Linked DNA regions of Elephas maximus indicus. The protein of the gene in region 4 interacts with the protein of the main gene of each other region in a pairwise test. Links are inferred from orthologs where the notes say so. Each region holds a gene or a part of one and is shown on either strand. Other genes may lie near its edges. The genes, in order: PLP2, RPRM, TNMD and TMEM79.

Region 1 (7,924 bases), on a different chromosome or scaffold from region 4:
GGCCCGAGACAAGAACTGTATAGTGGCTTGAAACTGAGGCAGTCCTGGGTGAGGGGGTCCATTTTGAGTCAGTGCAGATGAGGACCCCCAGCATGACTCATAAGCCCCCTTCCTTCCTCCCTTGTGTTTGCATTATTGAAATAATTAATATTTGTTGTAAAACAGGCCTGGCTTCTTTGCCTCCTTGCTCCAGACCACCCCCCAAATTTTCCCCCTCCTGATGCTTGAAATTTATCCACATTTGATCAAAGGATTAATTTATTCATTATCATATTTTCTCTAACCATCTTTTTTTATTTATCCCTCCATAGAAACCCCCCACCAAGGAGATCTGGAGTGGGTCACAATCTCGTGCCCTTCCCTACTCATTTTGTGACTTAGGTGGGGCATGGTCCAGGCAGAACTGATGTCTCCCTTTGGATACTGGAGAAGGAAAGGGGGAGGTAGCCACACCCATAAATGTGGCCACACCAAGAGGGTTGATTGACAGGCTGGAAGACAAATTCTCCCTATAAAGGCCCTTTTACCTCAATAGGGGACTGGGGGCTGGCTGGGAATGTTGTTGTGGGGGTGGGGAGGACTTATTAGATGGAGGCATTATTTGAAGGTTGCAGAGAGAAATTAGGAGAGTTCATCTACACCGGGCCATCTGCGGGGTCTGCAGGGTGAGGAAAAGAGAGAAAGCATTGGCTGGATCCATATGCCCATTTTACAGACAATTATACTGAAGCCTATGTGGGGGCAGTTCTACTCTGTCCTATAGGTCGCTATGAGTCGGAATCGACTCGACGGCACTGGGGTTGGGGGGATGAAAGGACAAGCCTTGGGCCAAAGCTATAAGTACCAGTAAGGGACAGAGTTGGCATTCATGCCCTTGGGAGACCCCTTTCCCTTTCCTGCCCCCTCAGCACTCCCCTTCCCTTTCTACCTCCTCAGCACCCACCACACACACACTTACCAGTGGGGGCTGCTGTATGTCTTTGCTGCCGAAAGGGGAATGTGATGTAGGCATCATAGCCAAAGAGACACGTACTGATTAGGCCCAGTACCTGGGAGTGAGGGGAGAATGGGAGTGAGGGTAATTGGATGGATTAGGCTGGTCAGCCTACTCAGCCTCTTACCTCCTTGTATCCACCACCTCCAATCATTGCCCCATGTAGATGAATCAAGCCCCAGGTTAGGAAACCAGAGAGCCCCAGGAAAAGGCCTGGAGACTGAACTCTACCCCACTCTCCCTCCTCCTAGCACCTCTCAACACAGGGCAGCCACATCCTGGCCTTACATGCAGGGGGCATCATCCAAACTACATTTATTGAGACAAAGTTCCAGCAGATGGTAGTCTAGTGTGTTGACAAAGGGGCCACCTGTTTGTACTTCCCACAAAAGTCCCTGTGTCAGACAAGGGATACTCCTTTACAGCAAAGGCTGATCTTAAGGAGCAGCCGGGAGTACACAAAACCAGGGCTTGAGTTAGACTTTTCTGTAGCATGGACTCTTGAGGCCCTGAGGACAAGCATGACTTGCCAAGGGTGACACACTTTCTACCAGAAGTAGAGGCAGAAATGGGCCCTAGAAATGTGAACCCCTCTCCCTGTGCCTTGGAGCTGCTGCCCTGCCTTTACCCCAGCGATGATTTTGGAGGCCTTTCCTTTCTCAACAAGGACAATAATGGAAGTGATCAGGAAGAGGATCGCAGCAATGAGTGCTCGGAAGAAATCCTGTGAGGAGAGAGAAGAGGGACATAAACGCCCAAAACACACTTGATAATCCCAGTTGCCTGGTGCCTCCCCAGCCTAGCCAAAGTCAGCCCCTTTCTCACACTCCAGGGCCAGTTGATGAACTGTATCTTGGTGTGCAGGTCACACATGTAGATGACAAAGAAGACAGCGGCCAGGATCATCTCAAACACAGGCAGGGAGGAGTAGTAAGCTTGGCCGTTTGCCGGGGCACTAAAGCAGATCAGAATCACCAGGCACAATATCTGGAGGGATGACACCAGAAAGGGGCCTTGATAAACTTTCAGGGCTGAGGGGTCTCAAATTTAGAAGCCTCTCGGGGCTGAGAAGATGACAAATAATAAGAGCTAAACACTTAAATTGTGTGTTTACTGTGTTCTAAGCATTATTCTAAGAGCTTTACAAATATTAACTCACTTAATCATCACAATAACGTAATAAGTTGGGTAGTATTAGTACTACTATTAGTATTATCAGTATCTCTATTTTATAAATGAGGAAACTGAGGCACAGAGAGGTTAAGCGACTTGATCAGGTCACCCAGCTAGTTATGAGTAGAATTGGGTGTCTCAGCTTCTCCTTTTTTCTCTTTTAGGGCAGGGACGGATGAGGGGAGGGTCCTCGCCGTGAGGTGTTTTGTGAGCACTGCTGGCTCCAGCTTCAAGGCCCTGAAGGGTGGGGATATGCGGTTCCCCAGCAACCCCTCTGGAAGCAGAGAGAGTGACACCCGAGGAACAGGGATCTGTTAAAAGGCACCGCACCCCTTTTACGAGTGACTCAAAGGCGGCGTCCACTTTGAGGGGGCGGGAAACCCAGACTCTCCAGTGGCCCGGAGAGCTAAAAGACCTCCTTCCGGGTCCTAGAAGGACGAGGAAAAACCGGCGGAAGGCAGGGCGCCTTCCCCCTGTGAAACTAGCGCGAGGGGCCCCACCCCAACAAGCCCCGCCCCTGGGCGCGCTGCCAGCCCGCCCGCCAGTGCCCAGGCCGCGCCACGCCCTGCCACTGGAGGCCACCACTTCCCAACCCCCCAGAACCCTTTGATGAGTCCATGCGGGCCCCCACCACACTGTCCCCTATATGCTCTCTTGGTCCCTCGCCTCATTCCGTGGGCCAGGAACTCCCGAACACCATTCCCAAACTCCAACAACTCGCCCTGCTCCCCTAGTTTTGGGTCTCCACCAGGAACCCACCCACCCACGCCCCACTGCAGAGCACCTCCGGCCACGTGCCTGCCTCACACAGGGCCGCAGGGCTCCGCGTGGTCCAGCCATCCCACCCCACGTTTGCCCACCAGCCTGGCCCAGGACGCTCACAATCTCAGCAAACAGGAGAATTCCCTTTCGGGTGCGTGAAAAGTTGGTACAGGCAATCCAACAGCCGGGTGCCGAGAGGCGCTCGGAGTCCGCCATGGCGTGAGCCGGAGTCCCTGGGGATATAGGGGATCTACTCGCTTGCTCGCAGTTTCGAGGACGCTGCACACCCAGCCGTGGTGTCGGCCGTCGGACCGGGAAGGGGGCCCAGGGGAGAAGGAGGGAGTGAATCACTGCGCGGAGCCGAAGCGGGCGGGGCCGGAGGGGGCCGGGCCAGGTGGCTGCCGCCCCGGAAGCCCCCTCGCCCCGCCCGGCACGGATATTCCCCGCTTTGCGCACAGGCCGTGGGGCACCCCATCTCTGAAGGGCTCCTGCCTTTGAGGCTTGGCAGTTCGAAGTACCAGGTGCGATAATCGCGAGACCCTTCGCCTTTTGTAGACAAATGCGCTGGAGGCTGCCTCAACTCAGAACGGTGGAATCTGACTTTGTGAGAGTGACTCAGTTTCTTTAGCTGTAAAAAACGATCAAGATTAAACCTGAAAGACTCGGGGCTAGGTACGTTTCCGGAATTTGGAATATTTCGAATTTGAGGAAGTTTCCCTGCTGCATATACAGTATACTATTTAACACTCTCAGGGGGTCAAGAGTTGCCCATTAAAAAAAAAAAAAAAGGAAGCGAACACGTTTCTTTTTCCTCAAGGAAAGTTATGAACGTTCACAGTAAGTAAGGTAAGTAAGGCTGAAAGTTGTCCCTTGTTAGGCCAGGTCAGGTTTTGTAACCAAATGATGCTAAACTTGTGGGAAAACTGTCGGTTTCCAGAGCTTTTTGGACTTCAGAATTGCAGTTGAAAGATCGTGGAATGTGGGATAAACCTCTTCGAAGTGATGGGAGATGAAATGAGAGTGTGTAAAAGCTGAGAACATAGCCTGATTAGTATCAAACATTCAGTAAATGGCTGTGAACATTATTAATAGTGTCAGAGCCCATGGGACCCAGGATCTGATTCTCCGTTCTTAGATCTGCATATCTTTGCCATAAATTCTGGGTCTCAGTTTCCTGGTTCTTAGGGGAGGGGCTGTCAGCTGAGCCCTATCTAGATGAGGGATGGGGAAGGAGCACAGGTTTATTGCTGAAGGCTTGGCAAGATGAGGGCATGGCTCCTGGGGTGTGATAATGCTGGTGACATTTGCAGTGTGTTACTTTGATCAAGTAATTTCTCCTGGCCCAGCCTCAATTTCTGCATCTGACACTGCACTTGGTCAGGCAGAACAAGATTCCCTGAGATGTGCCTAGGGGCATGCTCTCCAGACTGGACTTTGGTTTCTCATTTGAGGTGGGGAAAATCATTGCTGGAAGGCCAAGACTGTTCAACCCAAGGGGCTTCCTGCTCTCACTCCCAATCCAGGGCCCCTCAAAGCCCAGGGTGCTGAGTGATTGGATGGTGGAAGGGATGAAACATATTTTTCCAGTGCTGAATGTGTGCTTCCTAATTCTGTGAGGACATACCTGAGTTTCTGGAACAGAACAAGCTTGGTGCTGCCTCAGGGCCTTTGTACTTGCTGTTCTCGTTGATGTCAATGCCCTTCCCTAGCTCTTCATACCTCTGTATTCTGGTCATTCAGGTCCCAGCTCAAATGTCATATGTTAAAAGAGGCCGGAAACTCCCAATCATTACCTCCCCCAATATAACCTTCTTTTGCTATCTTCATATCTCTCATTTCTCTCTGAAATTATCTTTTATTTATTCATTTTCTTGTCTAACATCTATTTACCCGAACTACATCAGCTATGCAAGGGTAGAAATCTTTCTGATTTGTTCCCCCCGACTCTCCAGTGCCTATCACAGTGCAAGATATACAGTTGGGGCTCAATTAATACTTGTCAAATGCAGGTGAGATTAAGAGGACAGGTTTGGGAATCAGGCCTTGATTAAATCTCCCTTCAACCCCTCCCTCAAAGTATTTACACTCTCTAGGCCTCACTTGGAAACCCTGGTGGTGTAGTCGTTAAGTGCTATGGCTGCTAACCAAAGGGTGGGCAGCTCGAATCTGCCAGGCGCTCCTTGGAAACTCTACCGGGCGGTTCTACTCTGTTCTATAGGGTTGCTATCTTCTCTCCTCTGCGAAATGAATGCATGAGAGTTGTTGAATAGATGTAAGGAGATGAAAAGAGATAGAGTAAAGCCTGTAGCAGGGATAAGACAAAGTAAATGGTGGCTGGGGTTACTATTATTAGTCTCCTGGGTGTGACTGTGTTTATTAATACTGGGGCTCTGGGGCCCTTTCCTGACTTTGGTAGAGCCACACCTCTGGCAGGCTGAATCAGGGGTAGCTGGAAGCCCCAACATGCTCCCCTATAATGTTTACAACACTAACCATCCCAGTGTTCACCTATTTATCCCCCAACTCCCAGCTCTCCCAGCCTGACTCTTCAGCTGCTCTCTCCTCACCAGTGCCACCCTGGACTCTCACACTCAGGGCCGTTTATTTCTCTTCCCCTTCTTCTCTCACAATAGGGGCGAGAGTTGCCTGTTCCAGGCCGACCACAGCTTCTTTCGTTGAGGGGATGGAACCAAGTGTTCAGGATGTGGTGACAGCGGAGGTGCTTGGTCATTTCTGGCCTCAGCCAGAGCGTGGATACTATGGTTGGAGTCCCGCTGGGCATGTAAGCCAAGGCTGTAGGGCTCTGTTCCCAGGGTGGAGGAGCCTCTGGGCCTCTCCTGGGACCGGAACGCCAAGTGGGTGGCGTGTGCACACAAGTTCAGTCCGCTGCAGTTTGTCACCATCTATGGAAGAGATGGGCGTGGCCCAAAGTTTTTAACAGCCTTTTTTAGCCCGGCCCGCCTGGGGTCGCTGACTCACACCTTCCAGTCTCCACCCCAAAGGGGGCTCCAGGGCCCCATCCCGTGCCCCTTCCCCCGCCGTGGCAGGCTACGTGCCAGTGAAAGCTGGCAGACGAGGCCGGAAGCGGGAGACCGCAGGCTCCTGGCGAAAGAAGCCACCCTGCTTCTAGCCATGCTATCTGGACGTTAGCTGATGGTCTAGACGATTCCAGGCGGGGGCTGCGGGTATACTGGTGCACTTCCGCCACAACAAGCCCACTTTTGCATTTTCCACCCCGCGCACTGTGAGCCCCGCGCGCCTCAAAAAAAGTGAAATGTGTGAATGGACAGAGGAGCAGGAGTTGATGAAGAGAAAAGAAGTGTGGAGAGAGCATGCCCAGCTAGGGACAGGCAGCAACAAACACCCATCAGGAGACATGAAACAAACAGCACGAGAAGAGTCTCACCTAGAAACCAGTCTGGCCCACCGCTCCTTTACAGGGTGGCCTGGGCAGCCCCACCCTGCTTAGAGTACCTGGCAAGTCCAGACTGGATAAAACTATTTTATTACTTCCTCCGTTCTGGACTCGAAGCGCAGGGCGGGCTGTCAGGAAGAGCCATACCACTAACGCCGCAAGGGGATGGCGGGCTGGTCGACTGCGCAGCAGGAGGGGCACCAGAGTAAGTGGGAGCTCTCCAGACCTTGCTAGTTTGCGGTGGGCGGGGCTGTACCAAGTGAGCACCAGGCCTTCGGATGTTCACTCAGTGCGTCTGCCTTGCGGCTGCTGTCTCCAAAGCAAGCTGCGAGCTCCTGGGGACCCCGAGGGCCCGCGAGAGCCGTTCCTCGCTGGGCAACAGCCAGGGTCCCGGGGAGCTGGGAGACTGGTCGTCGGGGTCTTCCGTGTGGCGCTCAGAAGGAGAAACCGCTGCAACGCTGACCGCCGCCTCTGAGCTAGGCTCTGGGAGGCCCTGGGTCCTGGCCGTCGTCCGGGACCCAGGGTGCTGAAGTGGGGAAGCGCTGGCGCTGCAAGACCTCCTTACTTCCAGTTCCCTAGGATCCAGGCTGCGATCTAGGAATGGCAGGACTGCGGGTTAGACTGGGCGGTGGGGTGGGAGGCGGGGGGGGGACCTTGGCTGAGGGCCACCAGATACTCCAAGGGCTGCCGGAGACAGAGATTCCCGCCCTGAGAGAAACCTCCCTAAAGGTTGGGACACCTTCTTTACTGAGACCTTTTCCCTCCTGGATCCAGGACACCCTCCTCAGGAATCATTTCCCACAACCCTCAAAGGAAATCAAACCCCAACCTTGACCTCGGAAACCCGAACCCCTTCCCTGTACGACTCCTGACCCTTTCTTCGCTCAGGCCTCCTTCGAGTCTCATCGCTCCTTTTCCTTATCAACTTCTCATCTTTTGGAACCAGACTCCCCTACCCTCTAGGACCCTATTCCCTCCCTGCTGAGACCACTATGCTTTGCCCTTCTCGATCTTTCCCTCTGAACACGCGTTTACCCCAGGCCCCTTCCCTCCTTTCCCCTCCCAGTACCTCGAAAACTCCTCCCTGAAAAGCACAATTACTCCCATACTGGGACCCTGCCGCCCCGCCCCGGTTTTGAAAATACAACGACCTCTCCCAGCAGGCACCGACTGCTGACCCTCGCCACTGAGACCGCCAACCACTCCCCCACCCAGGACTCCAGTTCCTCCACTCTGCGACCCTCTTCTCCACACAGATCCTTGACCCTCCTCCACTGGGACACCCCCCACCTCTTTTCTGGGGCCCTCTCAACCCCTCAGGCTTGCCGGGGTGGGTCTCAAAAGGCCTGCGGAGCACAAGACGTAGGCGGGGGCCACCAGAGCGGATCCGCTCTGCGACCTGGGCCTGCGTGAGGCCGTGCGTGGACTCCCCGTTGATGTGGAGCACGAGGTCGCCGGCCTGCAAGGGCATGAGTCAAGGGGTGTTATAGGAAGGGCCAATGGAGGGCACCCTGACAAAGGGGGGGGGGTCCAGGATAGCATCCAGAGGAGAAAGGAGGGCGCCTTGGTGCTTACCTGCA
Region 2 (7,091 bases), on a different chromosome or scaffold from region 4:
GTTTAGTGACAATGCTTTACCCCAGGGATTGTTAGCGTCATTATGTGCTTTAGCACAATTACATTTCTTCGCACTTTATAGTTTTTTTCTTTCTCTTTCGAGCCGCATCTCAACCCTTTCTTGCTGACGTTGATCTAGGGAGAGATGTCGTCCCGGAAGGCTGGCCAAGCCTTGTCTTCCTTTCATTATTGGTGTAACCCCGTCTTCCCGCCGGAGCCCGGCACGGAAGCGTAATCTCCCCGCGGGGCCCTTATGTCGTCTCGTCTGGCTCAGAATGCTTGGCTTAAATGAAATATAAAGTGGAAACTCTGTAAGAGAAAACGAAGGCTGTTGCCTCTCAGAAGGCTCCTGTGCCTGGGGCTTGGGGATGTCTCACTCGTCCTTTGGCCTCTCGGTCTCGCCCCAACCCTCACCTCTTCATCAGATCCACGAATTGAAGCATAGCTCTCCAAGGCCCACAACCACACTCCTCACCCCTGCCTGTTCCCATCTGCCGGGGAGCGCAGAATGACTACCCGAAGGCCAGGCACAAAACATTTAAATGTCGCATTTATTAAAGAAATCTTAAGAAAAAAAAGTCAAAAACGGTGTCACGGATGTCAAGAGCACTTTTGTGGCGTAAACTGTGCAGTCACGAGCTATGAGTTCTATTCCGGGTCTTTACCGAGGCGGCAGCTGGGGGTCCAGCACACCCAGAAAGAGCCAGTTGAAAATGCAGTAAAAGAAACAACTTACCCTTTTCACATTCGCAGGCCCCCCTACCCCACCCATTCTCCCACGGTAACAAAATTCTAACCCCCAGGCAGGCAAACAGACTACTCGGGCAGAAAAGAACTTATCAAATATTTGTATTCAAGCAAAAAACAAACAAACAAAAATCCCTTAAAACGACACATTACAATCAATCACAGGCATTTATCGCCTCTCCCCGCCAGGGCTATGGGGAGCGAGAGGGAGTGGGCGGGAATCCAGACACGGGTTTGTGAGTCCCCATTAGGTCTGCTGCGTGGCGCATACACAGGTCATTTTTCGGCCACCAGGCGATCGGTGCCCCTGGGTCTCCCCCTGCCCGCCCTGTCCGCCTGCCCCCAGCGCTCGGCCCACCTGCGGGTGGAGAAGGGCCTCCGCCCCGTCGGTCTCCCCGCATCCCACGCCAGCGGCAGCTTCCAAAGTTCTGAGCCCTAACCGCCCTCTTCTCGCCACTTGCTGCCGAGTCCAGAAGTCCGGCCGCTCTCCTTTTCCAACAGCCAGGCACCAGAGCTTTCAGAGGGCGAGCGAAAAACCGGTCGCTTCATCCTGAAAGGCAGAAGTCGAGAGAAATAATTGACTCCGACAGGTTTGCTTTGCCCCGTCTGGGACAGTAAAGGGCGCAGCAGGGCGGGCGAAGAGGGAAGGCGTGGGGGCGGCTGCCGCGGGGGCCGGGTGGCCGGTCAATAGGGCCCTACGACCACCGCCTCCACCTCCTTAGACGGTCTCCGGTCCTTCACCAGGAAGTTGATCATGCCTTCGGACTTGATGAGCAGGTTGCAGCCGAGGAAGAAGATGCCGAAGACCACGGTGAGCGAGAGCACGCACATGACGGCGATCTGCACCACGCGCATGATGTACAGGCTGCGCTCGTCCGGGCCGCCCTCGGCGAAGCCGTCGTCGGTCACCACGGACGCCTGGGTGCAGCAGCGCACTGCGCGCTCCAGCGCCTCGCTGCTGTTGGCCAGGAACAGGCCCGCCACGTCGGTCTGGTTGCCCAGCGCCGGATTCATCGCGGGAGCAGGCGGGCGCCCCGGGAGGCGCGGATCCGAGGGCTGGGAAGGCGGTGGCGCGGGAGGAACAGGTGCCCCGCTGAGCGCTCACTTGCAGATTTGAGCGCGGGTCTAGTCTTTATCTCCTTTCGAAAGTCCCTGGGCCGTGGGAGTTTCCCCGGAGCCTCTCCGACGCTCGCAGCAGCCCGGCTCTTCTGCGCTGTCCGCTTCTGCCCGGGCGGTGCTTGTTCCCGGAGCTCGCTCGCTGGGGGGTTGTTGGAACTTGGCGGGGCTGGGCCAGCCGGGCCGTGGGAGGTGCGGGCGGTGGCGGCGGCCCTGGCGGCTGCTCTGAGCGAACAGCGGCCTCTTCCGGCCGCGCGGTGACTCTGCACCTGCTGTCATTGAGCGGTGGAGGAAGCAAAGGGGCGAACCTAGTCTTGTTCAATTCGCCTCTTCTCCCACTCCTCAGGCCAGGCAGAGGTCACTGCACTCTCCTGGCTTGATGGATGATTAAAGAGGTTGGAGGAGAGGAGGGAGGAGGGGTTGCGGTCAGCTGAAAGTTTCCGAGGAACTGGGTCACACCAGCTCTTGACGTCCTTTGCCTTCTGCCCTTCTCACCTCTGAGTGCATGCAAAGTGGTGATGAATCGCAGGTGCCAGATGGTCCTTGCAAATGCGCGGTCCTTTTGCCTGTGCCTGCCTTCTCTCCTGTGTCGCATTTCTAGTGGAGTGGGGGTGAGTTGAAAGTTTTGTTTGTTTTCTAAACAGTGAAGTTAGGGGGGAAAGAAGGACGAGATGGAGAGAGAGAAGACGGGAGTGAGGAAGGAGGGAAGAAGGCGGGAAGGAAGGATAGAAGGGGAAGGGAGGAAGGAAGAGCCCTCTACCCGTCACAAAAACGGTTGGGAAACAGAGCAAGGGAGATTTTGTAGTGATTTTTGAGGGTAAGGAAAGGAGGTCAGAGGAAGGAAGTGTTCTTTGGCCCTGCGGGGAGATGGTTGCCAGGAGCAGGGTCACTTCTCTGGTAAGGGAGTGAGAGGTGGAGAGAGTGGCCACTTGCTTGCAATCTTAATTGCAGGTGAGTTTTTGGATATACTTCCAGCCTTTCAGTTTGTTGGCCATAAATCCGTTTAAGGGAATTTCTCATCAACATCTATCACCTCGAACGCTGGCAGACTTCTGGAAGCCCTCCCATTTTCCACGAGCTGATGTATTTCACCCTTAGTCATTTTAAACTAAACTACAGCTGTTTTAGGGGGCTGGCTGAGGCTTCAGCCCATTCATTACGTTTTTGGTGCTGATTTCAATGAAGTTTTATGCACTTCTCAGATCATTTCCTAAGATTTAGAAGAACACTTCAGCTGTTTTCTCTTTCCTACTTTATTTTCTTCCTTCCTTCTTCCCACTTCCTCCCTCCCTCCCTTTCTTTCTTGAAGCTGTAAGAGTTGGTAACCAGGAATTTGAAGCCCAGTCCAAACTTTTGACAGCATGAATTTACTGGTTTTTATTGAAACATGGTACCTTAGACCATTTTCAACTCTACTCTCAATTCCATTCTATTTGCTTGTTCAACCTTCTTATTTTTTCCATGTTCAGAGATCTCAAATGATTTTGCACTACTTCATGACAACCACAAAATAGAAGGAACTGCCATTTGGTAATATTTGGGTGTTGTGTTCATTGTATAAACCAAATCTGTTGCTGTACACTCTGTTCTGACTTCAATAAATTGCTGTTGTTATTTCGGGGAGATGTTTAAAAGAAGGCTCAGTTTTCTGGGCCTTAACCACAATTTACGTTTTTTTTTTTTTTTGCCCCGGTTTCTCATGATTAGGTCAGCTGTGAGAATGCCCCACTCAAACAATTTCCTTTGGAAAAATTTATTATTGGAAATTGGGAAGAATTTACTTAAATCTCACTATAGAATCAATCTATCTTAGTTAATATGAATGATACTTAGGAATAATAAGACAATGCATATGTGAAAAAAATTACAGGAGAATTTAAGACAGTATAAAGCATTACTAAAAAGAATGGTAGAGGCAAGTAATGCAACAGGAATTTAGAAAAGCAAGAGGTCATCACAGAATAGAGTCCGACTTCTTGGTTCTGGGAATGTCAGCTTGCACAGGGTCAGGTCTCATGTTTAATAGAATTTGGGTGAGGATAAATAGAAAGGGAATAGCACCTTCTGTATGTGGCACAAGCAAAAAGACAGACATAATTTATAGTATACTTGTAAGATCCAGCTTGGCAGGATCTGTGTTACACATATTGCTAAAAATATTAGGTGAATCATTATCAGAAACCAAGTATAGTTGTTACTTTTAACAGTATTATTGTTTTAGTAAGAAGTCAGCATTAAGATGATTGACCTTTGGAGTTATAGGAGGTTTTATATCCAGTCAAACATTTCCATTTTAGGAGTATATTCTTAAGAGCGGTAAGGTGTTATGGATTGAATTATGTCCCCTCAAAATATGTTTTGTAAATCCTAACCTCTATGCATATGGTTATTATTATGGATTGAGTTGTGTTCCCCCAAAATCTCTGTCAACTTGGTTAGGCCATGATTCCCGGTATTGTATGTCTATCATTTTGTCATCTGTTGTGATTTTCCTATGTGTTGTAAATCCTACCTCTATGATGTTAATGACGCAGGATTAGAGGAATTATGTTAATGAGTCAGGACTCAATCTATGAGATTGGATTGTGTTTTAAGCCAATCTCTTTTGAGATATAAAAGAGAGAAGTGAGCAGAGAGACAGGGGGACCTTACACCACCAAGAAATGAGAGCCAGAAGAATAGCATACCCTTTGCACCTGAGGTTCCTGGGCTGAGAAGCTCCTCATTCAGGGGAAGATTGATTACAAGGATCTTCCCCCAGAGCCAACAGAGAGAAAGACTTCCCCTGGAGCTGACACCCTGAATTCAGACTTCTAGCCTCCCAGACTGTAAGAGAATAAATTTCTGTTTGTTAAAGCCATCCACTTGTTGTATTTCTGTTACAGCAGCACTAGATAACTAAGACAGTGATAATCCCACTTGGGAATGGGTTGTCTTTGTAAAATGTTAATGAGGCAGGATTAGTATAGGGTATATCTTGAGTCAATCTCTTTTGACGTATAAAAGAGAAAAAATGAAAGCTAGCAGGAGAGATGGGGTAAGATAGATGCTAAGACACATGGAGATCACCAAGGAACCAGGAAGCAGAAACTGAAGAGACATGTACCTTCCTCCAGAGACAGTAGTGAGAAAAAGCATTTCCCTACAGCTCCAGCCCAGTGCCATATGGCGCTTCCTACAGCTAGAGCTCTGAATTTGGACATCTAGCCCCCTAACCTGTGAGAAAATAAGTTTCAGTTTGTTAAAGCTATCCACTTGTGGTATTTCCGTTATAGCAGCACTGGATAACTAAGACAGAATTTGGTATTGAAGAGTGTGGTGCTGCTCTAACAGAACCTAAAATGTAGAAGTGGTTTTAAAATTGGTAATGGGCAGAGGCTGGAAGAGTTTTAAGGTGCCTAATAGTTTTTTTTTTTTAATAGTAAAAGATGAGATTGCCTTGAAGAGTCCGTTGGTAGAATTATGGACCTCAAAGGCAATTCTGGTGAGGGTTCAGAAGGAAACGAGGAGAGCTGTAGAGAAAGTCTCTATCATCTTAGAGAATATGTATAATTCCAGAAACAGAATATTTCTAGAAATGTGGGCATTCGGTGCGCTTGTGCTGAAGCTTTAAAAGAAAATGATGAATATGTGATTGGACAATGGAGGAAGGGCAGTGCTTTTTATGCAGTGGCAAAGAATTGTATGAGATATGTTCAAACGTTTGGTGAAAGGTAGAGCTTGTAAGTGATGAACTTGGATATCTGGTTGAGGAGATTTCTAAGCAAGCTCTTAAAGGAGCCACATGGTTTCTGTTTGCCGCTTATAGTAAAATGCAAGAGGAAAGACATGGACTTAAAAATGAACTGTGCAAAATGAAAACGGAACTTAAAGACTTGGAAAATTCTGTTGTACAAACTAAGAACACATGTCCTAGAATGTTCACCAAGGACATGGCTACACAATCTTTTGTTACAGAGATTAAGTCTGTGACTAATGGATTTAACTAACTACCACAGCAGAAAACCCATCAGCTTAGACAGAAGGGGACAGAAAGAGCTAAAGGAAAGAACACTGTCTGCCTCTTTGAATCTACAGGCAGGATACAGGCCAAAGGAGCTATATCTGTTGTCCTCCAAGAAAGGAAAAGTACCATCCCTGGAGTAGCTCAGAGATCAGTGGAACTGTTGGAAGGAGCACAGAAAGCAGGGCCTTCTCAATTTTAAAGGGTAGGGTCATAGTCTCTTGGATCTCAAAAGGCAGGGCTGCAGTCTCTTAGGTTTCAAAGAGTCAGATCTTTGCCAACTCAGTTCTGGAGTGTGGAGCTACCGTTAAGGCATTCCAGGGAGATGGGGCTACCACTGAAAGCTGAGGGGGCACAGCTGCCATGCCCAAGGGGCAGAAGAATGGAGCCTTCCGGGGCCTAGGAGATGGAGTTGCCGCTCAGATGGACTAGGCGAATGGGGCCACCTAAAGCCAAGGGAGCAGAGTTGCTATCCCAAAGTACCTGGAAGAAGGAGGTGAAGCCCAGGAATGAGGGGCCTCCACCCAGAATTCAAAAGGTGTGGCCAACACCCTGAGTCTAGAGGATGGGTCCATTGCCCAGATAGTCTCAGAGAAGAGAGGATTATTTTCAAGCCTTGAGAGCTAATATAATTTGTTCTGCCGGGTTTTGGACTTTCCTCATGCCTATTGTGCTTTCTTTCCCTTCAATATCTCCCATTCTTAATGGAAATGTCTACCTTGTGCCTGTTCCACCATTGTACTTTGTAAACAGATAACTTATATTCTAGATTTCACAGGTTCACAGATGAAGAGGAATTTTGCCCCAAGATGGAATTCACCTAAACTCTGACCCATGTTTGATTTAGATGATTCGGTAGATGAGATTTTGGGCTTGGAGTTTATTTAAGATTTTGGGATGATGTGATGGGGTGAATGTGTTTTGAATGTGGCAAGGACATGAATTTTGGAGGGCCAAAGGGTAGAATATTGTGGATTGAATTGTGTCCCCCCAAAATATGTGCTGTAAATCCTAATCTCTATGCCCATGTTTATAATGCCATTTGAGAATGAGCTGTCTTTGTTATGTTAATGAGGCAAGGTTAGTGTAGGGTGTATCCTGAGTCACTGTCTTTTGAGATATAAAAGAGAAAAAAATGCAAGCTAGCAAGACAGATGGGGTAAGATAGATACCAAGGCACATGGGGATCTCCAAGGAACCAGGAAGCAGAAGCTGAGGAGACGAGA
Region 3 (7,703 bases), on a different chromosome or scaffold from region 4:
ATGAGGTTGGTATGCTGACTAGCTTTGTTAGCAAAATCAAGGCTATTTTTATACCTGCTCTGCATGTTTAACATGCAGACACCATGGATACAGCAGTGAGGGAAAGAAGAATAAGAGGGTTTTTGTTATTCAGGGCCACAAATTTGTCTCATAAAAATTTTGTACATATATAAAGGATTTTCTTGAAGGTATAGTAATCTTACTATCATGAGAAGAATACTTGAGTCACTTAGAAGGTTTGACAAAATTAACTGAAGAATAAATTAGGGCCAAAATGAGAGAAAAATACATCTTGTTATATCAGTTCAGGCTCTCATTGCTCACCAGCCCTACTCGAATGCTTACATCATTTTCTGTAAAAAAAAAAAAAAAAAAAAAAGCACATGATATTGAATATAGTTGCTTTTTATCCTATTCATTCTCCTTTCATCTTACTCTTGCCTCTTATAGTCATTTCTAATATCCTGGAAGTTGGTCTGTTCCTCAGGCGAATCTAATTTATACTTATTTCAAAAAAAAATCTCCAAAAATTTTCACTGCCATGGAACTTGGGAGCAGAGCATCACCTTTGGCGAAATCTTCTTCTTTTTCTTGGACAGTCTAGTAATACAGGTCAGTAACTTCTCTGGCCATGAGGAGACCAGTAGCATGAAAGAGCAATGCCTGTGGGACCCAGTGAAAACTCTGAGACTTGGCCAAGGGAAAGGCAAAAGTGCTCCCCCCTCCCCATTCTGGGACCCCAAAGAAAGAAGAGAAAAAGACAATAAAAAGGTAGATGAGAATTCACATGGATAGGGGTGGGTGAGAGGACAGTGAAAAAGAACCAGGGGAAAGAGAGAAGAAACATTTACAGTGTAGTTAGGCCAGTGTGCCACTACCATAATCCCATTTTAGATTTGCCAGTTGAGCACTAATAAAACAAAACAACAACAACAAACACAAACAAGCAAACAAAAGTGTTTCTTCCTGGTTACAGAGCGGGTATGCTGTCAAAATACGGCTTTAGCTGAAATTTCCCACACCCCCTCAACTGATAGCAACACACTGTAATTACAGACAAAACTCAAGGGAAAAATAAACAGCTTTAGGGCATTCATTAATGGCTGTATTTTAGGCACTAATGACCCAGTGGAAACCCTGGTGATGTAGTGGTTAGTGCTACAGCTGTTAAGCAAAACATCAGCAGTTCAAATCCACCAGGTGCTCTTTGGAAACCCTACTGGGCAGTTCTACTCTGTCCTATAGAGTTGCTATGAGTTTGAATCGACTTGATGGCAATGTTTTTTTGTTTTTAATGACCCAATCTCCCACTCACCTTTCAGGGGTCATTAAGTGATTGCACCAGTACCCTAGGTTGCCTCACCCTGGCCTAGCAGTATATTTCCAGAGAATTTGCATTACACTATAGTTCTTTTTTTTTTTTTTATAGGTCTTAGTATTCACTGTCTTTGCTTTTCCTCCAAAAACCAAACCAAAACCAATGCCTTTGAATTGATTCTGCCTCACAGCGACCCTATAGGGCTGAGTAGAACTGCCCCATAGGGTCTCCTAGACTGTAAATCTTTTACAGAAGCAGGGTCTCTCAGAGTGGCTGCTCGGTTTGAACAGCTGACCTTTTGGTTAGCAGCAAAGCACCTTTCCTGGTGAGGTTAAAAAGGGGCCCTGGTGGTGCAATGGTTAAATGCTCAGCTGTTAACTGAAAGGTCGGTAGTTCAAACCCACCTAGCCGCTCCATGAGAGAAAGACCTGGCAGTCTGCTCCCATAAAGATTATAGCCTAGAAAGCCCTATGGGGCAGTTCTACGCTGTCTCATGAGGTCATTATGAGTTGAAATAGACTCAATGACACCTAACAACAACAACAACAACATCAGTAAGGTTAAATGTGGATTATTTCCTATTTACATGGACTCAAATTGACAACAGCAACTCCAAAGGCTGGAGAAAAAACTTATAGGGCAGTGAGTTCATGTTAAGGATGGAGGGATAATTCAGAAAAGGAGGGTGAGAATGGTTGTGCAACTTGAAGAATGTAATCAGTGTCACTGAATTGTACACACAGAAATTGTCAAACTGGTATATATTTTGCTGTGTACATTTTCATTAACTACAAAATAAATTATTAAAGACAATGTGGCTTATTTCATTAGCAGTCCAGCATAAAATGGTAAGGTGAATGAACTGAAATCTTTAAAATAGGCAAATGGGGCAGTGTGACAGAAGTGGCAAAGACCCACAGTGGCGTTGGGACTTTTTTTAAGACTTTGTTAGACAGGATTGATTTTTTCCCTCTAGCTCACCCCTTCTACTAGAAATCTTTAGTTTGAAAGCAAACGTACATAATATGAATTGGTACTCAGGTGTAAAAGTCCAGTGTTGCTCCTAAAAGCATGAACTTCAGTGTTTTGAAAGCCCTGAGTTCAAGACCCCATTTACTAGCTGTGTGACCTTGGGCAAGTTACTTATGGGTTCTGAGTCCCAGTTTCCTCATCTGAAAAATGGGGATAATAATAGTAACTATGTATAGGGTTGTTGTGAGAATCAAAGGGAGGTTAACGTATGTAAAGCATTTAGCGTAGCACTTGGCACATAGTTGACACCCAAATAAATGATGGCTTTTGCTACTACTATTATTGTTCTTACATACCTCATCTATTTCTTCCTCTGGTTCAGAAAATTCAGGAATCACTTTAATCTGAGTTTTGATGAAACATTTTTGAAGGCCTACAAAGTAGATGCCAGTGTATCCCTAAAAAACAGACAAAGCAATAACAAAACATCCTGAAATAACCACAATTAATAAATTCCATGATCTGTCAAGGCTCCCAGCTGGCAAAATTTGAGCTCAATGGGAAAGCTTTGTCTTATAAATTAAACGGAGACTAAAGGCTATTTTTAACTTGACTTAAATGCTTTAATATTTTAAAGCAAGCCTTCGGAGGAAAAATCCAACTTACATTTTTAAAGTCATGTACTTCCAATGTTTCATCAGTGCCATTTCCGCTTCTGAATATTTCAGTTCTGGTCACAGGATCAATTTCCATGTAAATCTTCTTCTTCTCTCCGTTGCTGTAGAAAGTGTGCTCCATGTCGTAGGTCTGGGAGAACAGAAGAAATAAAATTCTAAGACCCTCACTGTGTCCTTTCATAAGATCCTTTTATTGGGTAATATCTGGGGTGCCTTCTCTTTCCAGATCTTTTGTAGTGAGGTACCATCTCAGCAGCTTGCCATTGGGAATTCTCTGAGGCTTGAGATTTGAGATTAAAGTGAGGTGTTTTTTGGCACTAGAGCTGATATGGGGATCCCTTCAGAGCCAGGCTTTTATATTCAAGCCAAGTTGCTGAGCTAATTACTAAGAATTCCAACAGTTTTCTTGGCAGCCTTGACTAAATAGCAAATAATATCCTCCAAACCAGCCTGTAGTGTATTTTCCCCTTGCGTTAAGCAGAGGGATGACCCTAAAACCTATGCAGGTTCTTTAGGCTATCACTTCCTTCTTTAAGTGCTCAGTGCTCACTTCACCCCCACCCCAATGAAATTCACCAGAGCTGGGGGATTAGAACACATTTTGAGTGGTTAGGTTCTGTTCCCTCCTCATCTATCCAGGGCTTTAACACTGCCTCATTGGTCTGTATCTGTCCTTTTTAAGGTCTGAAGACCATTCTCCTTGGCCAGTATTAGGTAGCAGTCTTACCCTGCCCCTGCTTCCTTCCTTTTGGCCATTAAACTTCCTGGAGCCATTTATTGCTTTCCTTGAGTCTTCTCTTTTATAGATGAAGCAACTCTACCCAGCTTATTCCTGAATTCTGTTTGCCAAAATTCATTCAGTTCTTTCCAAGTTCTCGAGATTTCTCCTTTATATAGAATTCAGCAACTGTGTCAAATGCCTTGAGCTAAGCAATATGAAGTCTCCCAAGAAAATTGCCTTGGAAAAGCTGCTTATCAGGTTTTTCTTGAGTGGTTAGAATAAAACCCCCAGACTTTTTGCCTGCCCTCTGAAGGAGACACTTCTTTCTAAGAACCAAGAGGATCAGTCCCACAAAGTAGCCCATTTTAGGAATAAGCTCATCACCTAAATCTGAAGACATATGTATAGCTAGAAGCAAATAACATGCATAAAGGAATTTGCCACCTGTCACAAACCAGGCCAGTCCTGATGGTCCTATTTGGAAGTCTATCTTATCCCTATTGTTAGGAGGCCTTCAGCGATCAAGTTTCTTCAAACTCATTTTTTTCTCTTAGCAAAAAATTGAGAAAACTGAAAGCCTGAAAAAGCAAGTGATGTGGAGAGCCAACATTGCTTTCTAATGTTCCCAGTGGCAGCCTCTTAGATCTCGTACTGGGTTGGGTTGTTTTTTAATGTCTGCTGATGTCTGTGACTGAATGTTAGTTTAACCTGGTCAAATTTTCCCCAACTCAGGTAGAAAAACAAGTTGGAACAGTTTGTAGAAACAAGTGTCACTTCAGGCGTGAGAAGTCTAATGTTAGCTGCTGAATAGAAAAACAAGAGACAATGCACTTACGTCATTGTCACCTGATGGTGGTTTGGACTTGGTTAAAAAAAAAATTTTTTTTTTAAGTATTTGTTGGATGCATTTTCCCTATCAACAGCAAATTCTCATTTTCCTAAAGAGATATTTTGAGCATTGGCAAAGGTCTTTTAAGAAACCATATTTTAAAAGGGGAAGAAAAACCTCATTCAGCATCCTTCGGCAATTGCAGAGTTACCTCAGGAAGTGCAGCCTGGTTTGTGACAGGTAGCAAATTCCTTTAGGCTTGTTATTTGCTTCCAGCTATAAATATGTCCTCAGTTCCAGCTCTGCAGCCAGCCTGAGAAGAGAGACTTCTACCTATGGCAGCAAATTGAGCTCTCAGTCGGCCTGACCTAAGTAGAGGAAAGAGGCATCTACTTCAGATCCAGTCTTGTCAGGTCTCCCGACAGGGGGGGAATTTCGTTAGAAATACTATCCATTGCTAAGACAAATGTCAACACCAATAGCCACTGGGGGGCGGGGTAGGGTGTTTGTTTCATCAGTAGCACCACTGATTGATTATTGCATGGAAAAATGAGGTTAGGGACTAGGGGATGTTGGAATGCTGCCTACCTGGGCAAAGGAGAAAATACAGGCTGTACTTTCAATCATTAGTAGAAGACTATGGAACTATATTGGTGACATTTAGAACTTCAGTGTACTTCTGTGGAATGAGTTTTCCTGCACTATTGGCAATGTACTTCACTTGGACACCTTGCTAGATGAAAACTACTGGAAACTGCCAAGCTCAGCAGATCTTGATTATTTTCAACATTCCTTCAAATAATTTTTTGAGGGGGGGGTCCGTTCTGATTGCATTTATCAACCCGCTTATTTAGGAATGGTGGATTGTTAATTAAGTGGGATCAGAATGACTTCATTTATGTGTGAATCCTTGGTGGGGGATGGAGGTGGGGTGAGGGCTATATATATCTACCCAGATGGAATTCCATTATCAAAGGTGTCCTTTTGGAACAGACTGACTTTTGTCTAGGAAGATGATGCCGGTGACCCACTTTGGACTGCTTGGGGATGGGTTTGAGCAAATCCAGACATACTGTCTCGCTTGGGTCCCTGTGGAACATATTGCTTGGGTAATGGCTATGCAAGCTTCACTGGCCCATATGAAGACTGAGCTCATGCTTTTGGCCTCAGAAGTGTCTTGCTCTCTACTAAGCTCCCTGGCTCAGGGGGTGAGGGTCTTTCTGGGGATGAATAAATTGTTTTGTCCTTTCCAGGAGCAAACCAGAGCAGAGACAGGACGACTGGCCTGAGGAAGGTGGGAGTGGTCTACCAGTAGCTCCTCTCAGACTCTGACCTCAACGCAGTTTTATTCCAGGAAGGACAGAGCAAGGACAGAGTGTGACGAAGAGTACACTCCTGCCAAATTGGCAAATAAGGAAAGTTAGTCTTTGATGCTTCTTAGTTCCCTTTTCTGTTCTCTTTTCATATCCTGCTCACTCTGTACCTTTCTAGCCCTTCCCCCTCCTCTTCCCATCTCCCTCAGCCCCTTTGCCTCCTGTCTAGACACCTAGGAATCTCATGGTGCTTCAGGTCTCTTCTGTCAAAGAAGAAATCAATTTGACAAATAATTTTACACTAAGATGTTAGTGGCGGATATTTGTCTGTGAAAAAAATTGGAGGCAATATTGAACTCAAAGGAATGAATTGCTAATGGTGGATTTTAGGCACTGCGACACCAGAAGTAGGAAATATTTTGGTGGTGAGGCATCTTTCCAGCACCTCTCAAATGGGCATGTATTCCACCCACACATAAGGCTGGCCTTAACTATAAGAATCAGAATACTGGAGTGGGGCAGGAAAGCCAATGGAGTGGCATATGATTCCGAGGTGAAATGAGATAGATACATGATTAAGCCCAGGCAGTGAGAGGTGTAAAAAGGCTACACTGACAAAACATGGAAACAACATAAACTCATTCTTCTTCCCTGCCCAGGAACTCTGTCCTCAGTCTAGTTAAATCCTCCGCTCAGGCAGCAAATGATCCCTAACATCCTCTTTCACAGTTTGTCTTGTTTTCTTACCTTTGTTTGTGACAGTCTCTGAGACCAGAAAAGAAAGCTTTTTATAAAGAGTAAAGCTGCCTCAGACCTCAGTGTGATGGATCTGTTTTGGGGGCAAGTAGCTTTAGCCTGCCCTGGAAGGGATTTGAGGACATTTGGCTTAGGTTTGTTTTTTGAAGTCTGTGATTAATCTTGCTGCTCCTCTCTCCACCTTCATCCTTTACTGTCTGTTTATGAGGTACACCCTCCAAAGGTGAAATACATGCTCAGAATAACTGGCTAGCAGGTGTTAGGCTGTAAGGAAGGGAAGGGAATGCACTGTATCATATCATTACCAACCTAGCCTGTGTGAATTAAAGGGCCTCGGGGTATTTCTTTACCAACATAGAGCAGACAGACTGTTTCTTACGCAAACTTGGACTTCTGCATCTTCAATCACTGGTTCTTAGCCCTGAAAAAAATTGGCATAAGCAGCACAGACATTCCTCTTTTTCAACAAGAAAAAGCCATTTCTTTCATCTACAGACTCAAGCCGGTTGGGAAGTTTTTTCTTACTCGCTACCCTACCCCTTCTTAAATGCAACTGAAGAATAGTGGAAAGAATCCCCAGATCAGATTCTAGTCCCAGCCTCAACTCTACCACTTACAAGTTGTGTGATTTTAGGCAGGTCACTGAATATCTCTGGGACTCGGTTCCCGTCTATACTCCCCATTCCTTTCTAGATGCAATGTCGAATACTTGGCAAAATCAATTTTGCACAGATTGGGGTTGATATCTGTCGAGTTGATTTTACGACTAGCTACTACCTGTTGGTCACCTGAGCTTCTTTCCCTCTACAGCCTCAATTCCACTCTCAGCTGCCTCTCAAGGGCTCTTTTTGAAGGCCCAGGCGTTCCTTGCTGGTACCACTGAAGTTGCTCAGCAAATGCTGCCTTAGGAGAATGAAGGAACTTAACAAGAATGTGCCCATAGTGGCCAGAGTCTGGGTCTACATAACTGGTGCGAGTTGCCCCTTAGTAGCCCAGAGCAGGAGCTGGCTCAGTGGGACTTGCTGTACAAGGGTGAAGCTGGCTGTCACAGGGCTTGGGAGGAAAAGAAAAAGAAGTATTCTTTTCTAAAATGCCGACGTGGCACCATCTGGTGAAG
Region 4 (8,240 bases):
CTGAGCTAGGGGGTTTAAGAGCTGTCATCAAACGCCTGAATTTGCCTTAGGCAATTCCAGAGATCAGGGTCGGGGCAGCAGTTTTCAGCACAACATAAAAACTTTCTAACAGTTAACCTGTTGTCATCAAGTCAATTCCGACTCATGGCAACCCCATGTATTACAGAGTAGAATTCAGCTCCGTGGGGTTTTCTTGGCTGTAATCTTTATGGAAGCAGATCACCAGGCCTTTCTCTCATGGTGCTACTGGGTGGGTTCAAAACCATCAACTTTTTGATTAGTAGTGGGTGCAAGTCATTTGCAATGCCCAGGGACTCCTAATAATTGTTGTGTGCCCTCGAGTCGATTCTGACTCATAGAGACCCAGTGTGACAGAGTAGAACTGCCCCATGGGGTCTCCCAGGCTGTAATCTTTACAGGAGCAGATCGCCAGGTTTCTTCTCCCACAGAGCAGTGGTGGGTTAGAACCTCCAACCTTTCAGTTAGCAGCTGAGCACTTAACCATTGTGCCACCAGGGCTCCTTTATAACAATCAGGACCTTTAAGAAGTGAAACAGATTGTCTTGTAAAGAATTGAGCCCCTTATCTGAGGGGGTGTTCAACAAGACGCCAAATGGCCACTAGACCAGAGTGCCACAGAGGAGTGGCTACAACGGGTGGGAGGTTGGTCAGGATGATGCCTGAATGCCCTTCAGGTTCTAGGTTGGTATATATGTCTCTGAAGTCAGCTTCCTATGAGAAGACATATGAGCTGATTACCCACTACCAGGTGAGGTCAAGTGCAAGGGAGAAAGTGGACTCACTGCTCCAGGATTCACATTTGGGCTGATGCAGAATCCAGAAAGACCCCTGTCCCTGGTTCTCCAGCCATTCAGTTGCCTGGGTCCCTCTAGCATCACTGCCTTGCCCTCAAGCTCCACCCGCAGTCCCAACTCACCTGGAGATGGCAAAGAGGCCAGTGAGCAGTGGGAGCAGCTTGAGGGTGTCCTGGGGCAGGTAGGTGGAAAGCACGGCCAGGTTGAAGAAGTAGAGGATGAAGAGCTGCACCGACTGGGCCACATATCGCCGGTGGATCTCCACCTCCCGCCGGGGCTCCCCAAAGGGCCGTAGGGCAGAAAAGCACAGCAGGCTCAGCCCATATACCAGGATTCCTGGGGTGGGGTTGGGGAGCACACAGAGTCAGGAAAGACAGGAGGAAGGAGCTTTAGGCAGGAAGCTGGGGCCAGGGTTCACAGTGGAGGGTGCAGGCCCCACAGAAGGAAAGTGCATAGATTATACACAGTGGGGCTGAGGTGGTCCTAAGATGGGTGGACACACAGGTGGCAGGGCACAGGAGGCCATGAGGGGTCCAGCTCGAGTGAAGGGAAACCCAACTGCTCCCCAAACCAGCAGGTCCCACCCTCCTCGAGTCTAGTTCCCAGATGTCCCCTTTCTTCTGAAGGGCCCCGAGCTCACCCAGCACGATGGGGAAGGTGGCAAAGACCCCGCAGCGCAGCGTGTAGACCAGACGGGAACTCACTGTGGGCAGCCGAGGGGCATCGAAGGGCAAGAAGGCATATGCCCCATACAGTAGGCAGGGGAAGAGGATGAGGGCGGCCCCTACCGAGGCCACGGCCCTCAGCCCCTCACGGCTCCCACAGCCCTTGCAGGACCGGCTAGGTGGCCTCACCACTGCCTCAGCCCACTTGCGCTCAGGGGGCTCAGGGTGGGTGGCCCGGGTGGGCAGAAAGGCCCGGCGCTCCTCCTCGCCTGACTCACAGCGCACTATGAGGTCCTCCTGGGGCCGCCGCTCAATGCATTGTAGGTCGATGGGCACAAAGGCGCGGGCTGCCTTCTCAGGCAGCAGGTTCACATCATCTTCGGATGGCTCCTCTGGCCTGGGAGGTGGCTCTGACTCTAGGGACTCTGGCCCAATGCCCCGCCAGCCGGGGGGGTCTGGGAACGGAGCACTGGGCTGGGGGCCAGTCCCCCAGGGCAAGGTGGCAGCCTCGCTCACTGTGCTGTCCAGACCATCCTCAGTCCCCTCTCCAGCCATGGGAGACCCAACCGAAGACTCCACTCTGGGGGACTCAGCTCTGGGGGACTCAGCCCCACCTTCCCCTTCTGGCTGCTGGCCATTGGGAACCAAAGCCTGAGGTGGGCTCTTTTCCAAAGCCTCGGACCCCTTCACTTCCAACAGGGCTACAGTCTCAGGTTTGGTCATGCTGAGGCCTCAGTTCTGGGGTCTACAGCGAGGTCATGTCACCCTGCAGAGAGCAGAGGGAAGCTCTGTCAGTGCCCCTGTCCTCTGGCCCTTAGGACAAGCGGGCAGAGCTGGAACTCTCCAGGACAGACCCTTGATGGGCTTGAGCCCCATCTGGGACCTTAAGGAGAACATGCTGTGAGGAAGGTGTTGAAACAGAGGGAGGTGGAAGGGAAGTGAGCAGCTGAAATGGAGGCTCCCTTTCGACACCAAATGCCAACCAGCAGGAGACGGTGAGTCAGGGGGGCACAGGTCCTGGCAGTTATGGCCTCAGCTGGCCTACCCACGCCTTCTGCCCCACTCCACCAAAACCCCTGGGGTCATGGCCACCCTAATCCAGGAAAGGGAGAAAGAGGAGGTGTCTAGAACTTTGCCAAGAACTTCCTTTCCACCCAGGACCTTCCTGTGACTAGAGAAGCTGCCCCCCTATTTTCCCACCTGCCCTTCCCCCTGCAGACCACCACGTGGAACTCTAGTGGCAGTGGATGCCCGTGATTTGCCTACAAATATGTCCTAGGGAGCTAGCTGTCCCAGGGCACCCTGTCCCTTCAGCTCCAATCTGGGTATTTGGTCAGATTCCAAACACCTCACTGGCCTACTTCATCTACCTCCACAGGGCTGGGGTCTGTCCATTCCCAACTTCCAGGTTTAATAATGGCTGTTTTCCATGTCTCTCCTCCTGCCTTTCTTTCCACCCTGCCATTTGGTCTGCACCTCACTGCTCCCTCCTTTTCCTCAAGGACCCTTCTACCCCTCCTCGCAGTTTGGACCCATGACACCCTCTTACTTTCCATCTGGAGACAGGTGGAGGGTCCTGGCCGGTGTCTGGGAAGGAGCTGCCCAGCTCCCTGCTGGCTCTACAAGTATTTCTCTCCGTCTCCCTCTCTTTACCTGTGTCTCCAAACCTGTCTGACCAGAGCAGGTGGGGCCCAGATTAAAGGAGCAGGCCCCGCCCAGCTGAATTGGCCGACAGAAAAGGCATTAGAGGAGGGACTTCATTCTTTCTGGAAGTGGGGGTGCAGGTGGGCATAGGCACCAGTACACTTTTTAGGTACATGGGATGTGTAGGGGCTCCCAGCTAGGAAAGCAGAGGAGGAAGAGTGGGTTTGTATATTCGCAGGTATTGGAATAAGTTGGAATGCCCAGAAAAGAGGTGGAATTTGTACATTTATTTATTCAGTAAATACTTATTGAACTATTATTAGCTAGATGCTATTTTAGGTACTGACCCAGAAGAAAACAAGGTGACAGCCAAGGTCCCTGTCCTTGAGGAGCTTTTGTTCTATTGGGGTGATAGATAATTAAAAAACCTAGCAACTAAGCCAAAAAGACAATTTCAATAAGGAAAGTCTCTTTGACAGGGTGACATTCCAGCCGAGACCTGATGGGAAATCAGGAGTATGAGTGTTCCAGGCAGAGGAACAGCAAGTGAAAGGCCAACAGGTAGGAAGGACAGACTGTTTCAGGAGCAGAAAGGTCAGGTGGCTGGAGCCAAGAGCATAGTGGTGGAAGGGAAATTTATGTTCCCATTGCAACCTGTAAACAGGCTCGGGGACACCTTGCTTTTTAACTTATTAAGGTTAAGAGAGCAATACAAATCCATGTTAGATAGCAGGTGATCCTTCTACGTGAGCGAGTGGGAGAAAAAGTGGCTTTTCATTCCTGTGCGATCTTATTCCTAAAGGCATTGGAACTCTGTGAGACCACGGTTAGTGTCTAGCTTGCTCACCTCTGTGTCCTCAGCACGGTGGTTGGAAGACAGCAAGTATTCAATAAATGTTTGCTGGGCTGGTATGAGAGAGATACGCAAGCTGAAAATCTTTCGGAGGTGGAGCTGAAAGGCGCGATGCTTGTACAAAAGTCTCACTGGGACTTACTCCTATGTGATCCTTGGCTTTTTCCAAGAAAATTTTAACTTTTTTTTTTTTAATTATGGAAAAAAGGGAGAATTGGAGTCACTCTAACCAGTAACCTGAAAGACGCTCGGCTCAAATGGGGAGGGAATGAGGGCAGATCACTGGGACGCCCCTCGCTGTTGGCTCTCCTGCCCCAATCCAGTTTAGCTTCAGCCTCCTGAGTCCACTGTCTGTTCTCTGGAAGCTTTGTCAATAAAGTTTTTCGTGAGCGCTTAGAGAAGCCAGAATGGAGCCATGCTGCCCAGAGTTAGTTCTGGCAACTTCCCGGGAGGGAAAATGAGTTTCGCGAGATTTGGCAGTAGCCGGCCACTGGCCTACAACCGTGCGCCTGACTGATATCGCGAGATTTGACAGGCGGAGGAGGAGCTGTCGCGGGCAGCGTCCTCACAGCGATGGCGGCCGAGCAGGGCCGGCGGTGGTGGCGGCTGCGGCTACGGCTGGATATGGCAATGGCAGCGGCAGCGGTAGGTGGCGGGGGCCTGTGACCGGGAGCCGTCCCCGGACCCGGGCACCATGAGCCAAGGCCCCCCGACAGGGGAGAGCAGCGAGCCCGAAGCAAAGGTCCTCCACACCAAGCGGCTTTACCGGTGAGAGGGGCTGGGGCGTGAGTGCAGCAGCCGAGGGAAGTGGGGGGACAGCGAGGGGCGGGGCTTCCCGGACGGGCGGGGGCCAGGTGCCGGGCTGGGCGGCGGGCGAGGGAGGAGGGTGCAATTTTGGAGGGAGCAGGAGGGGTGGGGCTCCGTAACCGGGATGGAGCTGAAGGGCGGAATTGGGTGGGTGGGAGGTTTGGAGGGAAGCACGTGGAGGCATCCCCTCCGCGGTGAACTTGGGGCGGGCACTGAGCTTTGCGGGTTTGTGGTAAGAGGCTGGGAATTGGGGCTGGAAGGGTTAGAGAGGTGAGGGCGGGGCCGCAGATAGAGAAAAACCCGGAAGGGAACGGTGCTTAGAACCCTGTAGGGGATTCCTGCGGGCCGGACTTAACAGGGAAGAGCCCCGGACTCAAAGCCAGGTTCGGGTCATTGCTTCGCCGTTTTCTGACTGTGTGACCTTGAGTCTCGGTTTCCTTGTCCTTAAAAGGAGCGATTCGGATTGGACAAGCTCTTGAAGCCATTTATGACTCTATAAATTTTGGGGAGTCTGAATGAGAACAGAGAGGCTGGAAGGCTAGTTGCGTTCGACAGGAAGGGCCATGAAGGACTTTGGGTTCAGGGTGTTCTTAGGAAATGGGAGCCCACTTCAGGGCCCTCAGGGACTCCTGAGTCTTGCCTTTCCCCCAGCCTCATGACTGCAGTCCCTTGCCAGGCAGCTTCCATTCCTGGTTTCTGATTTCCACGGTGTTTACCCACTCCTCACGTCACATCTTCGCCCTTCAGCCTCTGTTGGGAGCAGGCCAGTATGAGCTTTTCCCAGCCTGGGTTGAGGATTTGGGGGGTAGGGCAGCTAGAACATGGACCCCAGAACTGGATCAGAATAGGAGGAAGCGTAGAGAATGAGGTGAGTTTTATGCCCTTTTAGGGAGAAGAACTTGGGGTTTTCATTTATCACAGGCAATAGAGAACAGGAGTGTTTGCATGAGGAAACTACCTTCAGAGCCTTGGCCCCCATGTAGGCAGTGAAAGGGTCAAGAGCATGTTGTGTTTTCTTCCCTGAGCAGGCATCCTGCCTCCTCTGGTTTTGTAAGCCAGAAGGCAGAAGGCAGAGGGGAGCATAGGCTGCTCCAAAAATAGAAAGGTGATCCAATCCAGCAGCCCCTGGGCTCCCACTGTGGGCTGCCCCGGGCAGTCCCCAGGCAAGTAAGGAGTTAGCTGGGGGTGACACGTGTGCCTCGTCATGCTGCCGAATGTCAGCGCTGCCTGTCAGACAGAGCGTGGGCAATGTCTGCAACATTCCTTACTAGTCTCCAGCTTTTAGGGATGGCTGTGGTCATCTTTCTTGTCATTCTCAAATCTAGTTCTTTCTCAAGCCACTACCTTCACAGGTCTTAGCTGACTTAAGCTGGTGTGTTTGTGCGTGTGGTTTCCATGTGTGCACATGGGTATTTGTACCTGCAGTTGCATGTTGTTGGCTTTGAGCAGTGTGGAAATTTGAGGTAGCCCGTCTCTGTTTTTATTGTTTATTATAGCAAGGGCGATTGGTGGAAGGAAACTAGCGAAGGAAGATCTGACTTCTCTGCCCAAGATAAACTTGTTAGACTATAAAGCTGCCACTCACACTCCAGTAAATTTGGGAAACTCCCACAACCTAGTTGTTTACTCAAATAAAATTCTGAAATGTTTTAAGCACTCAAAAGGCAACAGGAGAAGGGATGCTGGAATGGATAAAACCAGAAAACCCATTGCCATCCAGTTGTTTCCGATTCATAGCAACCCTACAGGACAAAGTAGAACTGCCCCATAGGGCTTCCAAGGAGCAGCTGGTGGGTTCGAACTGCTGACGGTTTGATTAGCAGCCTGAGCTCTTAACCATTGTACCACCAGGGCTCTGAAACAAATAAAAGCACCAATTAATTAGGCAAATTAATTATTTCTTTTTTCAGCATTTAAAAAATATTAACACCGTGTTAAGCCTGGGATTACAGTAGTGAATGAGTCATAATACTGGTTTCTGTACAAACAATTTAGTGGAAGGAGCTTATGGTCTGATGAGGAGTGGGGAAAAGACTGCTGAACCCTTTCAGATTTGAGATCTTGTAATTGGAACTTCTTAGAGTAGTGATTATTAACCATTTTTGGATTGAGAAGTCTAAGGAGCGCTCTGGAGCCTCTCCATAAACACAAACACATACCACCAACACCTTAGATCTCTCCATGGCATTGAGGTCGAGAAGCCCTGCCTGGGGACTAAGCTGGCATGGAGTAAATCACTGATGGCTGCCAGATGCTGTCCCTGGCACCGAGGGCCAGGCTGGCTAAAAGGGTTTGGCTGCCATCTCTAGGCAGCCCAAAAGGTTTTTGGAGAAATGCTGAGTTCTCAGATTGCCTGTGAGAAGGCCTTGATTACTGTCCCACTCACTCAGCTGGGTGCTGGTGGTCACTTTGTCCTTTACAGGACAGCTTTTAGTGGTGTTCCACCTAAGCCGCCCCAGCCCAGGAACACAGTTTAGTTTGTTTTGGGAATCATCACTCCCAGTTTTTTGGTTGCTTTTATTTCCACATATATGCCTGATTCACCTATTGGTGCCTATCATGCTCTTGGTTTTACCCTTCTGGAGATGTCATCTACCTCTGGGACTTTTTGGCTTTCGATTGTAGACTTTCCTTGGCCTTTTATTTGCTGTGATGACAAACTTACTTCTCAGGGCTTGAGCCTTAGAAGGATGGAGACTAACACTTATTGAGCACTTATTATGTCCAGGTGCTGTTTTGAGTGCTTTGTGTATATTGGCTAATGTAATTCTTACAAGCTAGATGATGCTATTATCCCCATTTTATAGATGGAAGAACTGAAAGATAAAGAGGTTAGGTATTTTGCCCAGGACCACTTAGCTGCTTAGCTGGACAGAAGTAGAGCCAGGATTTGAACCCAGGCAGTCTGGTTCCAGAGCCTTCACTCTTAACAGTATGCTAAACAATTCCTTTAGTAGAATCCAGCAGACTAGGTTGAGTGGTGAAATGGACAGTCCACCTTACAAATAAGCCACTCAAGAGTCCCCTCCTACTTTTCCATGCCCCACTATTTCAAAGCAGAATTTTATACAAGGGATGCCTTCCCTTTATGTCAGATAATAACCCCGTGCATAATAATGATTTACTCATTCCGCCATCATTTATTGGATGCCTATGGTATACCAGTGTGGTATATAAATTATTTTATTCTATCTTCACAACAGTCCTCTGAGATAGCTGCTATTATTTTCATTTTTATTGATGGTGGTAACTAAGGCTTAAAGAGTTTAGGTAATTTGCCCAAAGTCACAGAGTTAGTAAGACACGGCCAGGGTTCAATCCCTGGATTTTCTGCCTGACATCACAGCCTGTGCTCTTTCTATGGGGGAGGGTGTTACATAGTTTCTCTTCCTTGACACTGTTGACGTTTGGGCCAGGTAATTCTTTGTTGTGGATGGCTGCTACTGTTGGGGGGCA

The links.
Region 1: the proteins of TMEM79 (region 4) and PLP2 interact in binary tests that used the Homo sapiens proteins (3 or more experiments, as listed by UniProt). The two-hybrid records come from large-scale screens. The link is inferred for Elephas maximus indicus from reciprocal best matches to the Homo sapiens genes TMEM79 and PLP2.
Region 2: the proteins of TMEM79 (region 4) and RPRM interact in binary tests that used the Homo sapiens proteins (3 or more experiments, as listed by UniProt). The two-hybrid records come from large-scale screens. The link is inferred for Elephas maximus indicus from reciprocal best matches to the Homo sapiens genes TMEM79 and RPRM.
Region 3: the proteins of TMEM79 (region 4) and TNMD interact in binary tests that used the Homo sapiens proteins (3 or more experiments, as listed by UniProt). The two-hybrid records come from large-scale screens. The link is inferred for Elephas maximus indicus from reciprocal best matches to the Homo sapiens genes TMEM79 and TNMD.

Annotation. Positions count from the first base shown.
Region 1 is NC_064846.1:122,413,240-122,421,163, forward strand, and holds PLP2 (proteolipid protein 2), read right to left. Parts: upstream 3,250-7,924; 5' UTR 3,146-3,249; coding exon 3,050-3,145; intron 1,982-3,049; coding exon 1,820-1,981; intron 1,719-1,819; coding exon 1,623-1,718; intron 1,050-1,622; coding exon 959-1,049; intron 659-958; coding exon 636-658; 3' UTR 241-635; downstream 1-240. Other genes in the region: PRICKLE3 (prickle planar cell polarity protein 3), read left to right, coding at 1-31; PDZ domain-containing protein MAGIX, read right to left, coding at 6,631-6,953, 7,635-7,803. UniProt on the Homo sapiens protein: May play a role in cell differentiation in the intestinal epithelium.
Region 2 is NC_064824.1:50,633,394-50,640,484, forward strand, and holds RPRM (protein reprimo), read right to left. Parts: upstream 1,961-7,091; 5' UTR 1,761-1,960; coding exon 1,431-1,760; 3' UTR 1,297-1,430; coding exon of another isoform or gene 1,264-1,296; 3' UTR 853-1,263; downstream 1-852. UniProt on the Homo sapiens protein: May be involved in the regulation of p53-dependent G2 arrest of the cell cycle. Seems to induce cell cycle arrest by inhibiting CDK1 activity and nuclear translocation of the CDC2 cyclin B1 complex.
Region 3 is NC_064846.1:57,742,495-57,750,197, forward strand, and holds the start of TNMD (tenomodulin), read right to left. Parts: upstream 3,275-7,703; 5' UTR 3,149-3,274; coding exon 2,957-3,148; intron 2,749-2,956; coding exon 2,647-2,748; intron 1-2,646. UniProt on the Homo sapiens protein: May be an angiogenesis inhibitor.
Region 4 is NC_064821.1:194,075,613-194,083,852, reverse strand, and holds the start of TMEM79 (transmembrane protein 79), read right to left. Parts: upstream 3,139-8,240; 5' UTR 3,030-3,138; intron 2,247-3,029; 5' UTR 2,204-2,246; coding exon 1,456-2,203; intron 1,152-1,455; coding exon 938-1,151; intron 1-937. Other genes in the region: nonsense-mediated mRNA decay factor SMG5, read left to right, coding at 4,672-4,745.